Saccharomyces cerevisiae S288C: one gene and its partners. The gene in region 1 interacts genetically with each later gene. Each region holds a gene or a part of one and is shown in the gene's direction. Other genes may lie near its edges.

What was found. Genes that interact genetically often act in the same process or in processes that back each other up.
Region 2: mutations in PTC4 (region 1) and TPH3 together harm fitness more than expected from each alone (negative genetic interaction), as found in Saccharomyces cerevisiae (one large-scale study listed by BioGRID).
Region 3: mutations in PTC4 (region 1) and SUB2 together harm fitness more than expected from each alone (negative genetic interaction), as found in Saccharomyces cerevisiae (one large-scale study listed by BioGRID).

The regions. Positions count from the first base shown.
Region 1 is NC_001134.8:486,699-490,059, reverse strand, and holds PTC4 (type 2C protein phosphatase PTC4), read left to right. Parts: upstream 1-1,679; coding exon 1,680-2,861; downstream 2,862-3,361. Other genes in the region: alpha,alpha-trehalose-phosphate synthase (UDP-forming) TPS1, read left to right, coding at 1-1,155.
Region 2 is NC_001142.9:404,044-410,316, forward strand, and holds TPH3 (Tph3p), read left to right. Parts: upstream 1-1,544; coding exon 1,545-3,230; downstream 3,231-6,273. Other genes in the region: MPS3 (Mps3p), read left to right, coding at 1-902; chaperonin-containing T-complex subunit CCT3, read left to right, coding at 3,515-5,119; MAD3 (Mad3p), read right to left, coding at 5,450-6,273.
Region 3 is NC_001136.10:303,255-309,620, forward strand, and holds SUB2 (ATP-dependent RNA helicase SUB2), read left to right. Parts: upstream 1-1,982; coding exon 1,983-3,323; downstream 3,324-6,366. Other genes in the region: NADH-ubiquinone reductase (H(+)-translocating) NDE2, read left to right, coding at 1-1,594; 40S ribosomal protein uS9 RPS16B, read right to left, coding at 3,672-4,079, 4,512-4,535; 60S ribosomal protein eL13 RPL13A, read left to right, coding at 5,170-5,173, 5,539-6,134. UniProt on the Saccharomyces cerevisiae protein: ATP-binding RNA helicase component of the TREX complex involved in transcription elongation and required for the export of mRNA out of the nucleus. SUB2 also plays a role in pre-mRNA splicing and spliceosome assembly.

The DNA.
Region 1 (3,361 bases):
CCGTTATTCCATTACCATCCTGGTGAGATCAATTTCGACGAGAATGCGTGGTTGGCATACAACGAGGCAAACCAGACGTTCACCAACGAGATTGCTAAGACTATGAACCATAACGATTTAATCTGGGTGCATGATTACCATTTGATGTTGGTTCCGGAAATGTTGAGAGTCAAGATTCACGAGAAGCAACTGCAAAACGTTAAGGTCGGGTGGTTCCTGCACACACCATTCCCTTCGAGTGAAATTTACAGAATCTTACCTGTCAGACAAGAGATTTTGAAGGGTGTTTTGAGTTGTGATTTAGTCGGGTTCCACACATACGATTATGCAAGACATTTCTTGTCTTCCGTGCAAAGAGTGCTTAACGTGAACACATTGCCTAATGGGGTGGAATACCAGGGCAGATTCGTTAACGTAGGGGCCTTCCCTATCGGTATCGACGTGGACAAGTTCACCGATGGGTTGAAAAAGGAATCCGTACAAAAGAGAATCCAACAATTGAAGGAAACTTTCAAGGGCTGCAAGATCATAGTTGGTGTCGACAGGCTGGATTACATCAAAGGTGTGCCTCAGAAGTTGCACGCCATGGAAGTGTTTCTGAACGAGCATCCAGAATGGAGGGGCAAGGTTGTTCTGGTACAGGTTGCAGTGCCAAGTCGTGGAGATGTGGAAGAGTACCAATATTTAAGATCTGTGGTCAATGAGTTGGTCGGTAGAATCAACGGTCAGTTCGGTACTGTGGAATTCGTCCCCATCCATTTCATGCACAAGTCTATACCATTTGAAGAGCTGATTTCGTTATATGCTGTGAGCGATGTTTGTTTGGTCTCGTCCACCCGTGATGGTATGAACTTGGTTTCCTACGAATATATTGCTTGCCAAGAAGAAAAGAAAGGTTCCTTAATCCTGAGTGAGTTCACAGGTGCCGCACAATCCTTGAATGGTGCTATTATTGTAAATCCTTGGAACACCGATGATCTTTCTGATGCCATCAACGAGGCCTTGACTTTGCCCGATGTAAAGAAAGAAGTTAACTGGGAAAAACTTTACAAATACATCTCTAAATACACTTCTGCCTTCTGGGGTGAAAATTTCGTCCATGAATTATACAGTACATCATCAAGCTCAACAAGCTCCTCTGCCACCAAAAACTGATGAACCCGATGCAAATGAGACGATCGTCTATTCCTGGTCCGGTTTTCTCTGCCCTCTCTTCTATTCACTTTTTTTATACTTTATATAAAATTATATAAATGACATAACTGAAACGCCACACGTCCTCTCCTATTCGTTAACGCCTGTCTGTAGCGCTGTTACTGAAGCTGCGCAAGTAGTTTTTTCACCGTATAGGCCCTCTTTTTCTCTCTCTTTCTTTCTCTCCCGCGCTGATCTCTTCTTCGAAACATCATGAATAAAAAGAAAAAGGAAATCAAGAAAAAAAAGCCATAATTTATCCCACATTTTTTTTTATTGTCGCTGTTCACACCGCATAACGAAGATATTGGCTACATAAACAATTGACATTGGATCTCTAGTTTTACGTTGTTTTCAACTGCATCTTTTTCTTCTTTCTTAGCACGGAGCCCTTACGTCTTCTTTTCTATCCCATCGCCCTTTTTGCCTCTATTCTCCCCTATATAGCCATTTTAGAAAGTAACTTCAATTTGAAGAAGACAAAAATGGGTCAATTGCTTTCCCATCCGTTGACGGAGAAGACCATAGAATATAATGAATATAAAAACAACCAGGCGTCAACTGGTATTGTTCCACGATTTTACAATTGTGTGGGGTCCATGCAAGGCTATCGTTTGACTCAGGAAGATGCACATCTAATTAGAAATGAAAACTCTGTTGTGTACGTACGATTTTTCAACCCATTCATAGACAAATACGAAACCCTGTCATTGAACGTCTTCGCAGTATTCGATGGTCATGGTGGAGATGATTGTTCGAAATTTCTAAGCGGCGGCCGCCACCATCGCGATGGTAACGGCAGTAGCAACGGTAATGGTGAACCCAACGCTGGCCTGATCAAATGGATTGCGTATAGTTTCGAAAACCACCATTACACATCTACAACTAATAACGACTCATCAAAATTTAAAAGATCCTTCAATACGTTGGAAGGACTTGTTTCTCAAATTTTTAAAGACGCTTTCATATTGCAAGATGAAGAGTTATATCGACATTTTGCCAACAGTTCGTGTGGATCTACAGCAGTAGTAGCATGCATCATAAACGAGGAATCACTGTATGTGGCTAACTGTGGTGATTCGCGATGTATTCTTTCCTCCAAATCGAATGGCATAAAGACGATGTCTTTCGATCATAAGCCACAACACATAGGAGAATTGATACGTATAAACGATAATGGTGGTACTGTCTCTCTTGGAAGAGTGGGTGGAGTACTGGCTCTCAGTAGGGCATTTAGTGATTTCCAATTCAAGAGAGGTGTCACTTATCCACATAGAAGGACAAAACTAACAAATATTACCCAGAATTTAACTTATGGAACCCCACCACAAGAAGCACAAGTTACCGTTGAACCAGACGTATTGATGCACAAGATTGACTATTCTAAAGATGAGTTTTTAGTACTGGCTTGCGACGGTATATGGGATATTTATAACAACAAACAGTTAATTCACTTTATAAAGTATCACCTGGTATCAGGGACGAAGTTGGATACAATAATAACAAAATTGTTGGACCACGGGATAGCGCAGGCAAATAGCAATACTGGTGTCGGCTTTGACAATATGACTGCCATCATTGTAGTGCTAAACCGGAAAGGCGAAACATTGCAAGACTGGTTTAATAAAATGAAGACCCGTTTGGAAAGAGAAAGGGGCCTAGTGTAAGGAAAAAAAATTATTTTTCTTCTTCCTTTTTCTCATACATATCTGAACGTGTGGTTAATGTGTCTGTGTATTAGTGTATAGGATCAACTGCTTGGGAGATGAAATAACAAAAGTACCTTAAAACGACCTCATTATCACATTTTTTTTTTTACTTTATTATTTTATTGTGCTTTTTAGTGTTGTAGAAAACCAAAGCAATCCTTTTAAATGAATTTTTATATACATACGTGTATATGAATATGAATATGAGTTTACCCCATCTTTAAGCTCTGCTGTGTTTTGGAAATAAATTCACATATTCATGTTTAGTTTTCCTTTTACATAATTTGGTCTTAGTACAGAGAAGTCCTCTTCTTCGCTTCTTCGCTTTTGGTCTTTCTGAAAAAGATCGATAAATAACATCCTAAAGACAGGAACTGAAAGACAACACAGAAAAGGTATACCAAGGGAAAAACATAATTAATCTCTATAGCTTTCAAGAGCGAAAATATCTTCCAAAT
Region 2 (6,273 bases), on another chromosome or scaffold:
AGATCACAAATAGGTTAGAGACACAGCAGCAGCAGCAGCAGCAGCAGGTTCAACAGGATTATTCTAACGTGCCACAGCAGTATTCGAGCATATTAATGAAAAGATTAATTCACCAAATTTACAATTCCAATCAACACCAATGGGAGGACGATTTAGATTTTGCTACTTATGTTCAAGGTACTAAACTATTGAACCATTTAACTTCACCAACCTGGAGACAGGGCAGTGGGGTACAGCCGATAGAATTACTGACCGACTCCAAACAAAGCTCCTCAACTTACTGGCAATGTGAGAACGAACCTGGGTGTTCATGGGCCATAAGGTTTAAAACTCCTTTGTATCTAACCAAAATTTCGTACATGCATGGCCGTTTTACTAATAACCTACATATAATGAACTCAGCACCAAGACTGATCTCATTATATGTAAAACTGTCACAGACTAAAGAGATCAAAGCATTGCAGACATTGGCAAATCAATACGGTTTCGGGCAGCATCACAAGAGAGACCGAAATTACATCAAGATCGCAAAATTTGAGTACAGGTTGACAGATTCTAGAATACGCCAACAAATGTATCTGCCCCCATGGTTCATTCAGTTAAAACCACTCGTACGCTCAATTGTCTTTCAAGTGGACGAGAACTACGGGAACAAAAAGTTCATATCTCTGAGGAAATTTATCATCAACGGAGTGACACCGCAGGATTTGCAAATAATTGAAAATAACGAGTTCCCTGTTTTACTGGGTGACACCCCAGAATATGGTGTCACTCAGAACACCGACGAAGGCAAGAGGAAAGTTCTCCTATCAAAGCCTCCTTACGCGTCTTCATCTACTAGTACCAAGTTTCATCCCGCTTCTAACGTCCCATCATTTGGCCAAGATGAGCTAGATCAATAAACGACAATAAAAAATTAAACGTTCTAACCCCCTGGCCCCCAGAAAATCGCGCAGATTGACGGCACTCCCTTTAAATCATAGAGTTAATCAGCTACTCACCACTCTCTTTCGGTACTGGCGTTATTCTGAATTCCAACCTTGAACACAGCCACACGGCATTCAGATGTTGCTCCCATGCGTGGACTCACGCTCTGCGATTAACAGCTCATGGAAATTTCCTCGTGCTATTTAAGACTGCAGTCGTTTGGAAATCGGAATATCTTTTTTCGTGCAGTTTTGCGGGAAATTTTCCCTACTTAAAAAGCTGAATGAAAATCAGAAATATCTGCAAAAAAAAAAGGTAAAAAAGGGAAATTTTAAGACATAGCATAAAGGACTTGGTTTTGTTTCAATACTCAGCCCTTTTCATTCATTTCTATCACAAGTTTTTTTTTGCTCTCGTTTCCATTTTCTTCGTTTACTTATTATTGACGTACATCTTTTTTAGTTTCAAATAACATAGCAAGAAGGCTTAACTAAGTTCCTATATTCTTGGCATATTTATCATCATCAGGTCTTTTAAAAGTATCTCAGAACGTAACTTCAACGCCTTTAGATTTTTTTCACAACACGACTCTATTGCAAGAGACAAAAAAAATTAAAATGGGCATTTTGGACTCGCTGAAAAAACCTGTTAATATCAAGAGTTCGCTCCCCAAATTCTCCCGCAGTGCTACCAGCATCAATTTAAGTAGCCACCCAGTAAGTTCACGGTCCTTCCTCGAATTACCACCAGAGCTTTTCAGCATCACTAAACCTATATTTAAGCTTCTGCAAGCACACGCAAATAAGATTTACTTCCAATCTTCCGACGCTGAGGCTGTATGGAATGTTAAGGATTCTTCTGGACATGTTTTTGAAGCAGAGTCAATTTCTTTGCTCGGCTCTCATATAATTATCACAAATTCCTCTGTACAAGTCGCAGACGTGGCCATCATAGATTCCCCTTCCAACATAAACCAATGTGAAATTTCAAGCGTTGGAGAGTTCCTGCAATTCAATAATGGCCAACTATCTATCACATGTAACGATTTTGGTTTACTGGAGAAGTTCAAAAGGTTGTGTATGATTTCTATTTTTGAGTTCATTTCTATATATAAGGCCTTGACAGGCACAGTGATTTCCTCTTATGGGCTGAGAATGTCTGATATGCATATCATTTTGAACTCGCCGTTCAATTTTAAGGATTGGTGTGAAGTTTATCTTGATGGTCAAGGTTGGGTGAAAGTGTGGTGTCATATTGATAAAGTGTCTAAAACCAATAATTCTAAAAGTAGTAGTGACAATGATGCTAAAGGAAAGTATCAAATACGGTTTTATAGAGATGACAAATCCACATCTAGCAAGAACTGCGTTTTTTTTATTCCTGACAATGAGTACGTTCAAGATATTTTCTTTTATAACATCAATGCGGCAGAACCTTCTAAAAATATGAACGACTTTTTTCAAGGGTTGCAAATGATAAAGCTCGTTGGTAATGTACGCTTTTGCAGTGATACGGACTTTAATGATGTGGTGGATAGTGGATCCATCTATAGTAGTGCAAACAACGGCAGTGGTGACAGCAGCTCGACAGCATTGAATAATGAAAGTCCTAACACTACACCAAAAAGTAGAACTTTCTTTTCACCTAAAGGGCACAGAAGAAATAGCTCCCATGTAAGTTCGTTAACTTCTAGATCAACAAAAAAGCCTATAACTAACTTCACTACACGTACAAATGGGCTTTTGATTAGGCCATTGCCCCATCATGGCGTACATCACCTGGAAGCAATGATCAGGTTCATTATTCCTTTGATGGATTGTGCAAGACTTTATGGGCGTCCAGTTCAATTCAAGACAGAAAGAACCGATATAAATTCGTTAATGTTTGGATTACCTAAATTGCCCTCAGTGGATTATTTTGCTGAAGAGGAGATTGCCCATTTGATGACCCAGGAATTTAATCCTTTGAAAGAAAAAGATACTGACGATACTATGGCTTTAACTATGTCAAGATTTTCTAGCTACCTGCAAGAAAGAATGACAAAAGTCTCCAAGAGAAACACAGAACTCAACTTCAGGACCTTTAGTGATGTAATGGGCATGTATAATACTACGAGGGATCACTCTAAACTTAATTGCATGAGTGACAAGGATAATTCTGTGAAGGAATTTTCATTGAGTGATAAAAGCAATGTTAGTTCTGAAACGACTAATATGATGAATCAATTGCAAGTAAACGCCCATGAATACAAAAGTTCTATGTGCGAACGTCCTATCGTCGCAAGTACTTCGCCCATTGCATAGTTCTTCGCATATATAGCCACATCTCAAAAACTTACATACAGTGTATATATTTGTGGTACAGTTTCTGTATAGCCAAATATACCCTGATATAATCTTATGTGATATTATATACTTCCATCCTAATACTAAACTTTTTCGTTTAACGTGACGCATGGTGCGAAGAAAAAAAAATAGCAAATCGCCACTCAATAAAGTGAGTAGAGAGCATTATATCAAAAAAGCATCGATAATATCGAGTGATCATACGTTGAAAATCATCAAGTACAATAGTGATATAAGCCACAATGCAAGCTCCAGTGGTATTTATGAATGCTTCTCAAGAGAGAACTACCGGTCGTCAGGCCCAAATCTCCAATATCACTGCTGCAAAGGCAGTTGCCGATGTCATTCGAACTTGCTTAGGTCCAAAAGCTATGTTAAAGATGTTATTGGATCCTATGGGCGGTCTTGTGTTGACTAACGATGGCCACGCTATTTTAAGGGAAATTGATGTTGCACATCCAGCAGCTAAATCAATGTTGGAGTTATCCCGTACTCAAGACGAAGAGGTTGGTGACGGGACTACAACAGTTATTATTCTAGCTGGTGAGATTTTAGCTCAGTGTGCACCTTATTTGATTGAAAAAAATATTCACCCTGTTATTATTATCCAAGCCTTGAAGAAAGCACTGACTGATGCACTAGAAGTTATCAAACAAGTAAGTAAACCTGTCGATGTGGAAAATGATGCCGCTATGAAAAAATTGATTCAAGCCTCTATCGGTACTAAATATGTCATACATTGGTCAGAGAAAATGTGTGAATTAGCTCTAGACGCTGTTAAGACTGTCCGTAAAGACCTGGGACAAACTGTGGAAGGTGAACCTAATTTTGAAATCGATATCAAAAGATATGTCCGTGTGGAGAAGATTCCTGGGGGGGATGTTCTAGATTCTCGCGTCTTAAAGGGTGTCTTATTGAACAAGGATGTTGTTCATCCAAAGATGTCCCGTCACATAGAGAATCCACGTGTTGTTCTTTTGGATTGTCCACTAGAATATAAGAAGGGTGAATCTCAAACCAACATAGAAATTGAAAAGGAGGAAGATTGGAATAGGATTTTACAAATCGAGGAAGAACAAGTTCAGCTAATGTGTGAACAAATTTTAGCCGTTAGGCCAACACTAGTCATCACTGAAAAAGGTGTTTCAGATCTAGCACAGCATTATTTACTAAAGGGTGGATGTAGTGTTTTAAGAAGAGTGAAGAAATCAGACAATAATAGAATTGCTCGTGTAACTGGTGCAACCATTGTCAATCGTGTAGAGGACTTGAAGGAAAGTGATGTCGGTACAAACTGTGGATTATTCAAAGTAGAAATGATTGGGGACGAATATTTCTCATTTTTGGATAACTGCAAGGAACCAAAAGCTTGTACCATAATGTTACGTGGTGGTTCCAAAGATATATTAAACGAAATAGATCGTAACCTACAAGATGCTATGGCTGTTGCTCGTAATGTGATGTTGAGTCCTTCCTTGTCCCCAGGTGGTGGTGCCACCGAGATGGCAGTTTCTGTCAAATTAGCAGAAAAGGCAAAGCAATTAGAAGGGATCCAGCAATGGCCATACCAAGCTGTAGCTGATGCTATGGAGTGTATTCCACGTACTTTGATACAAAATGCAGGTGGTGATCCTATTAGACTCCTATCCCAACTAAGAGCCAAACACGCACAGGGAAATTTTACAACAGGTATTGATGGTGACAAGGGGAAAATTGTAGATATGGTTAGTTACGGTATTTGGGAACCTGAAGTCATCAAGCAGCAAAGTGTCAAAACCGCTATTGAAAGTGCATGTTTACTATTAAGGGTTGATGATATTGTTAGTGGTGTAAGAAAACAAGAATAATAGCCTCGAGGTTAAACTTCATTACTGCCGTTTAATATTTGGTGTTTCTTCACATTTTTTTGTTTTTTTATACTATTGTAATGTATTTATATAGAATTAAAGTCCTCACTATAATTTTGTCATCCCTACAGTATGTCATAAGCGTTAATCGGACAAACGTTCATTTTAAAATTGGCCTTTTTATATTTATATTACTCCTCATAGGATTTAATATAGAAGTATCATTCGTTAAATAATCATTATATCATCTGTGCTTTAAATAAAAAAGTCGGCCGTCGATGTGTTTACGATTGGCCAGTATACTTACTCATTCATGGGATTAGTTTTATTTCAACGCTGTGGTGGGTACGATATGAAAGACGAACTCGACTTGTCATCATCTGAAATGATCTCAGAATTTTTGCTTTGAGAAAAAGAATTTGATTCTCTCATTTCTAAAATTGGGGTTAACTGCCGCGGCTTGACAGCTGAGATGATATCAGACGTCTCAGTGCTTCGTCCCTTTGGCGTCATAGGGCAGTTTATGTACTCTTCGCCAGAAAACATTCTTCCCTGGTTTGAGGGGGTCAACGACTTGGAGACTAAGGCTTTTCTACTTATTTTTGGTCTTTTCGATTGTGCTTCAGCTTCTTTTTGATTTGCGCTTTCTTCTTGCCCTAAATTTGCTTCTCTTGGATGTTTCCTATTTGTCCTAACCCTTTTATAAACGTTTCTAGAAATTGCCAAGACTTCTTCTAGCGAAAATTCTAGTCTACCACCTTTAGATTCCTCATCTTCACAATAAATCAGTTTAAAATTACAGTCAATTTTTTCTGGTTTCTGGTCCTTTGTATTAATCATTTGATAAACAGGGTCACTTCTACCTATAGAATCTCTAAAGATCGGTAGTTTTTCATCATATGGTCTCTTTTTTTGCGATAACATCTCATGTTGTTTAAGCTCACCCAAATTGGTATTTGCTTCTAGCAATGATATTCGAAGGTTGTTTTCTTTGTTCCTTTCTGCCTTTAAGTCAAAATTTTCCCAGCCATCTCTATAAACACCTCTATTCGGAGTTTCGAATAGTTCTACATCAGACTCTTCTCCATCTACAAATACGTTGTTTTTTGTTAAATTGACGTCACTTGATGTGCCATTTTGATTTGCAAGCTCTA
Region 3 (6,366 bases), on another chromosome or scaffold:
CCGTTTCAAGATGACCCAGATCTCTAAACCTTTTTTCCATTCCACTGAAGTTGGTAAGCCCGGACCACAGCAGAAGCTATCGAAATCTTACACTGCGGTATTCAAGAAATGGTTTGTCAGAGGTTTAAAGTTAACCTTTTACACGACGTTGGCCGGCACATTGTATGTGTCATACGAGCTGTACAAAGAATCGAACCCACCCAAACAGGTTCCCCAATCGACCGCTTTTGCTAATGGTTTGAAAAAGAAGGAGCTGGTTATTTTGGGTACAGGCTGGGGCGCCATATCTCTTTTGAAGAAATTAGACACGTCTTTGTATAACGTGACCGTGGTGTCGCCAAGAAGCTTCTTTTTGTTCACACCGTTATTACCCTCAACGCCTGTGGGTACGATAGAGATGAAGTCTATTGTCGAACCGGTTAGATCGATCGCTAGAAGAACGCCTGGAGAAGTTCACTACATTGAGGCGGAAGCGTTGGACGTTGATCCAAAGGCCAAAAAAGTAATGGTGCAATCGGTGTCAGAGGACGAATATTTCGTTTCGAGCTTAAGTTACGATTATCTTGTTGTTAGTGTAGGCGCTAAAACCACTACTTTTAACATTCCCGGGGTCTATGGCAATGCTAACTTCTTGAAAGAGATTGAAGATGCTCAAAATATTCGTATGAAGTTAATGAAAACCATAGAACAGGCAAGTTCATTTCCTGTGAACGATCCGGAAAGGAAGCGATTATTAACGTTCGTGGTTGTTGGAGGGGGCCCTACGGGGGTTGAATTTGCCGCCGAACTGCAAGATTACATCAATCAAGATTTGAGGAAGTGGATGCCCGACTTAAGTAAAGAAATGAAGGTTATCTTAATTGAAGCCCTGCCTAATATCCTAAACATGTTCGATAAGACGTTGATCAAGTATGCCGAGGACCTTTTTGCCAGAGATGAAATTGACTTGCAAGTGAATACTGCCGTGAAAGTCGTAGAGCCAACCTATATACGCACTCTGCAAAACGGCCAAACAAACACGGATATCGAATACGGGATGCTGGTTTGGGCCACGGGAAATGAACCAATCGATTTTTCAAAGACACTGATGAGTAGAATACCGGAGCAAACTAATAGGCGTGGTCTGTTAATTAATGACAAGTTGGAGCTTCTCGGTTCTGAGAATTCGATTTATGCAATTGGTGATTGTACCGCACACACGGGTTTCTTTCCCACGGCACAAGTTGCACATCAGGAAGGCGAATACTTGGCCAAGATCTTGGATAAAAAATTACAGATAGAACAATTGGAATGGGACATGCTCAACAGTACCGATGAAACTGAGGTATCACGTCTACAAAAAGAGGTTAATTTGAGGAAATCTAAGTTGGATAAGTTCAACTACAAGCATATGGGTGCCCTTGCGTACATCGGCTCTGAAACCGCAATTGCAGATTTGCATATGGGCGACTCATCATACCAGTTGAAAGGTATGTTTGCCTTCTTGTTTTGGAAATCCGCTTATTTGGCCATGTGTCTCTCTATCAGGAATAGGATTTTAATTGCCATGGACTGGACCAAAGTTTACTTTCTTGGAAGGGATTCCTCCGTGTAGTCCTTGTTTTATATATTCATTGTTCCAATTCAAATTGTTTACTATCATTTACGTATTATAACCAGTATTTCCCTTTATTGGTCATGGAAGATTCGCGTTACCCTTACTCGTTAACAGTGATATTATTTGTATATGTGATGAAAATTTAAGAAAAAAATAGTCGACAACACGCCGAATAAACAAAGGGTTTCTTCAATACCTGATATAGTAGCTAGAGGGCAGAAGTTTGAGGTGATATCTTTCTGAGTGTTGTTATTTTTGTAAGTCGTAACACGGAACTGTTTGCCTGTTGGAATTTTACGTTACTATTCTCATCGGTATAACTAGCTTATATTCACTTTGGCAATAGGTTAAAAAAAGCTCGTTCATTTTTTTAAAAACAGCAACGATGTCACACGAAGGTGAAGAAGATTTATTGGAGTACTCCGATAACGAACAAGAAATTCAAATTGATGCCTCTAAGGCCGCTGAAGCTGGAGAAACTGGCGCCGCCACTTCTGCAACTGAAGGTGATAATAATAACAACACTGCAGCTGGCGACAAGAAAGGTTCCTATGTTGGTATCCATTCCACCGGTTTCAAAGATTTCTTGCTAAAGCCAGAACTATCAAGAGCCATCATTGACTGTGGTTTTGAACATCCTTCTGAGGTCCAGCAACATACCATTCCTCAGTCAATTCATGGTACCGATGTCTTGTGTCAAGCAAAGTCTGGTTTAGGTAAGACAGCTGTCTTTGTCTTATCCACTCTGCAACAATTGGACCCTGTTCCAGGTGAAGTTGCCGTTGTTGTCATTTGTAATGCTAGAGAACTGGCCTATCAAATTCGTAACGAGTATTTGAGATTTTCCAAATATATGCCAGACGTTAAGACAGCAGTCTTTTACGGTGGTACTCCAATTTCTAAGGATGCTGAACTTTTAAAGAATAAAGATACTGCTCCTCACATTGTTGTTGCAACTCCAGGTCGTTTAAAAGCGTTAGTGAGAGAAAAATACATTGATTTGTCACACGTCAAGAACTTTGTCATAGATGAATGTGATAAGGTTTTAGAAGAATTAGACATGAGAAGAGATGTGCAAGAAATTTTCAGAGCTACTCCAAGAGACAAACAAGTCATGATGTTTTCAGCCACACTTTCTCAAGAAATTAGACCAATTTGTAGACGCTTCTTACAGAATCCATTGGAAATTTTCGTCGATGATGAAGCTAAGCTAACCTTGCACGGGTTGCAACAATATTATATCAAATTAGAAGAACGTGAAAAGAACCGTAAATTGGCTCAATTATTAGATGATTTGGAGTTCAATCAAGTCATTATTTTCGTTAAATCTACCACAAGAGCTAATGAGTTGACCAAACTATTAAACGCCTCTAACTTTCCGGCTATCACCGTTCATGGTCATATGAAACAAGAAGAACGTATTGCTCGTTACAAGGCTTTCAAAGATTTTGAAAAACGTATTTGCGTGTCCACAGATGTTTTTGGTAGAGGTATCGATATTGAACGTATTAATTTAGCCATCAATTACGATTTGACTAATGAAGCTGACCAATATTTACATCGTGTCGGTAGAGCTGGTAGATTTGGTACTAAGGGTTTGGCTATTTCATTCGTTTCTTCAAAGGAAGATGAGGAAGTCTTGGCTAAGATCCAAGAGCGTTTCGATGTCAAAATCGCTGAATTCCCAGAAGAAGGCATTGATCCGTCCACTTATTTGAATAATTAATAAAGGAAAAAAGATACGTTTTTATATAGATTATATAAAGATTTTGTATTATTCAAACGAACAAAACAAACAAAAAAGGGGAAGTGGAAAAAAATTAGCAGTTATAGCGAAAGATTGAGTTTTTGTTGGAAAATGAACGTAGTGTAGTCATTTCGTGAACGCACAAGACAATTCTATTGGGCATCACATGGCAAAGCATGATAAGGAAATGAAGTTTTGGGAATGATTCTAAATTAACGTTTTACCCGTTATAGGAAGATATACAGTATATGTAAGTAAAAAGTTTTTTAATACAATAGATGTGCAAAGAAAAGTGAAGAGATTTCTGGAAAAAATCTTGAAATTTTCTTAACGGTAAGATTTTTGGAATCTAGAACGAGCACCCTTACCACCGAATTTCTTTGGTTCTGGTCTTCTAGAATCAGCGATCAACAAAGTTCTGTCGTAAGAGGTGAAGGCCTTCTTCAATTCGTTCTTGGATTGTTCGTCAACGTACTTTTGGTGGTAAGCGACTAAACCCTTAGCAATAGCTTGTCTGATGGCGTAGACTTGAGAAACATGACCACCACCAGTGACTCTAACTCTGATATCGATGTTGGAGAACTTGTCCAAACCAACCAACAATAATGGTTCGTAGACCTTGAATCTTAGGATTTCTGGTTCAACCAAAGTGATTGGAGAACCGTTGACCTTAATCAAACCCTTACCGGCCTTGACGTGGGCAACAGCGGTAGCTGATTTCTTCTTACCAAAAGTCTGTTATAAAACCAAAAATGAAAAACATTTCGTGTCACATGTTAGTAAAACAGAAATTCAAAATCCTCAAAAATATTATGAACTGTGTAAAAGGGTGAAACAAGTGAGGTACCCTGGCACTTCCTCTTTGGAGCATTCTGTTCAAAATTCATTGCAAGGGGAGCGAATGAATAAATAAGACCGCAAAAGACGCTCATTACTTTACTCCACAGAGAAATTAAGTATAATATTTTCCCACACAATTTATTGGTTATTTCTACTCGGTCTTTAACGTGTGAAATGGTGATCCGTTGTTCTAAAACTATGATTCGCATCTAGTGCTTGCCCCACCCGTCTTATTCAGGTGATATGGTTCTTAAATTGAAATTATCTCACTGCATGGTTTCAATATCCCTCACAAATTCGTGACATCGTTTAAATTATTTAACATACTTGGACACTTGGGACGGCAGACATCTTGTTGCTTATTCTCTTGCTGTATTTTTCGAAACACTGCTAAATAAAAAGGTATATATTAAATAGTCTACTGCGTAACCTATACATTTTACATGGCATTTACTTTTGACTTTGCCAGTGTTACTCTCTGCGCTAGGATAATATTCGGTGGTATAGGCTCACGCGGCCTGGCCGGAACGAACTGCTACCAGTTCTGTTTCCCTCAGCTAGAGGGAAACAGAGAGAATTTCCGCCCAGGTCAAAGGCCACAGCATCCTTCTAGAGGAGGAGCGACAACCTAAGGAAAATTCAGTTTTTCCTAGATCGCATACATTTTTCAACCACTTTTTTTCACAATGCATTATTTTTCAACATGTATGGGTGTTTTTTCTGAATATCAGACTCTTTTATGGAGTAAAACAAGCTATTAATATGTGACCCATACATTTCCTGTTACATCCTTACATATATGCAGGCAATTTTTTGTAGTTAGAAAATTTAATTTTTTTCTAGTCGGAATAATCACAGTAGAGGTGTGGAAATCTTGGAAAATTTGAAATGATCGGATATTAGCTACTAATCCATTTAAGCTTGCAGCATTCTGTTCGAAGGGGTTTGAGAAAAGCATAGTACAGCACAGCAGGAATCGTACACAATGGGTATGTCTACTATAAAATAATTCAAATCACTTTTGTCATTTCATAGACCAAAGAAGCTCGCTTGTTACCTTAGAGGATTATACTAGTGCACAAAGGCATGCATAATACAACACACGTTATTGATGAACCTAGAGAGGCTAAAGTTATTTTCTAATAAATCATGAGATTTTTCTCCTTTTTACAATAACTGAGCAGTCATAGTAATGGCCAAGCAAATTCGAGACAGGACCTTTGTACCACTATTTGCTGAACTCATTGTTAGAGTCTTCTTAGATAATATGATAAATTTGGTGTCTAATTGAAACGTCCACTTTTCTGTATACTAACAATTTTTAAAATGGGATCTACCAATTGAATTATATCAGCCATTTCCAAGAATTTACCAATCTTAAAGAATCATTTCAGAAAGCACTGGCAAGAACGTGTTAAAGTGCACTTCGACCAAGCTGGTAAGAAGGTTTCTAGACGTAATGCTAGAGCTACCAGAGCCGCTAAGATTGCTCCAAGACCTCTAGATCTCTTGAGACCTGTTGTTAGAGCCCCAACTGTTAAGTATAACAGAAAGGTCAGAGCTGGCAGAGGTTTCACCTTGGCTGAAGTTAAGGCCGCTGGTTTGACTGCTGCTTATGCCAGAACTATCGGTATCGCCGTTGACCACAGACGTCAAAACAGAAACCAAGAAATCTTTGATGCTAACGTTCAAAGATTAAAGGAATACCAATCTAAGATTATTGTTTTCCCAAGAAATGGTAAGGCCCCAGAAGCTGAACAAGTTTTGTCTGCTGCTGCTACTTTCCCAATTGCTCAACCAGCTACCGATGTTGAAGCTAGAGCTGTCCAAGACAATGGTGAATCTGCTTTCAGAACCTTGAGATTAGCCAGATCTGAGAAGAAATTCAGAGGTATCAGAGAAAAGAGAGCTAGAGAAAAGGCTGAAGCTGAAGCTGAAAAGAAGAAATAGATCTAAAAACTTCATCAAAGAATTTTTCATCCACAATTTTTGTATTTTCCTTCTTTTTTATCTGTTCAATTTCATAAATAATATATATGTACAATGTATAAACGGGAAGCCATCACTTATAATTTATCATTTCCTTAACTTTATAGTCTGGGTGAGAATATGGTTGACAGTATTTTTACAAGTTAGCGCAGTTTTCTTGATATGATGGAACATTATTGTATTAGTAGTAGTC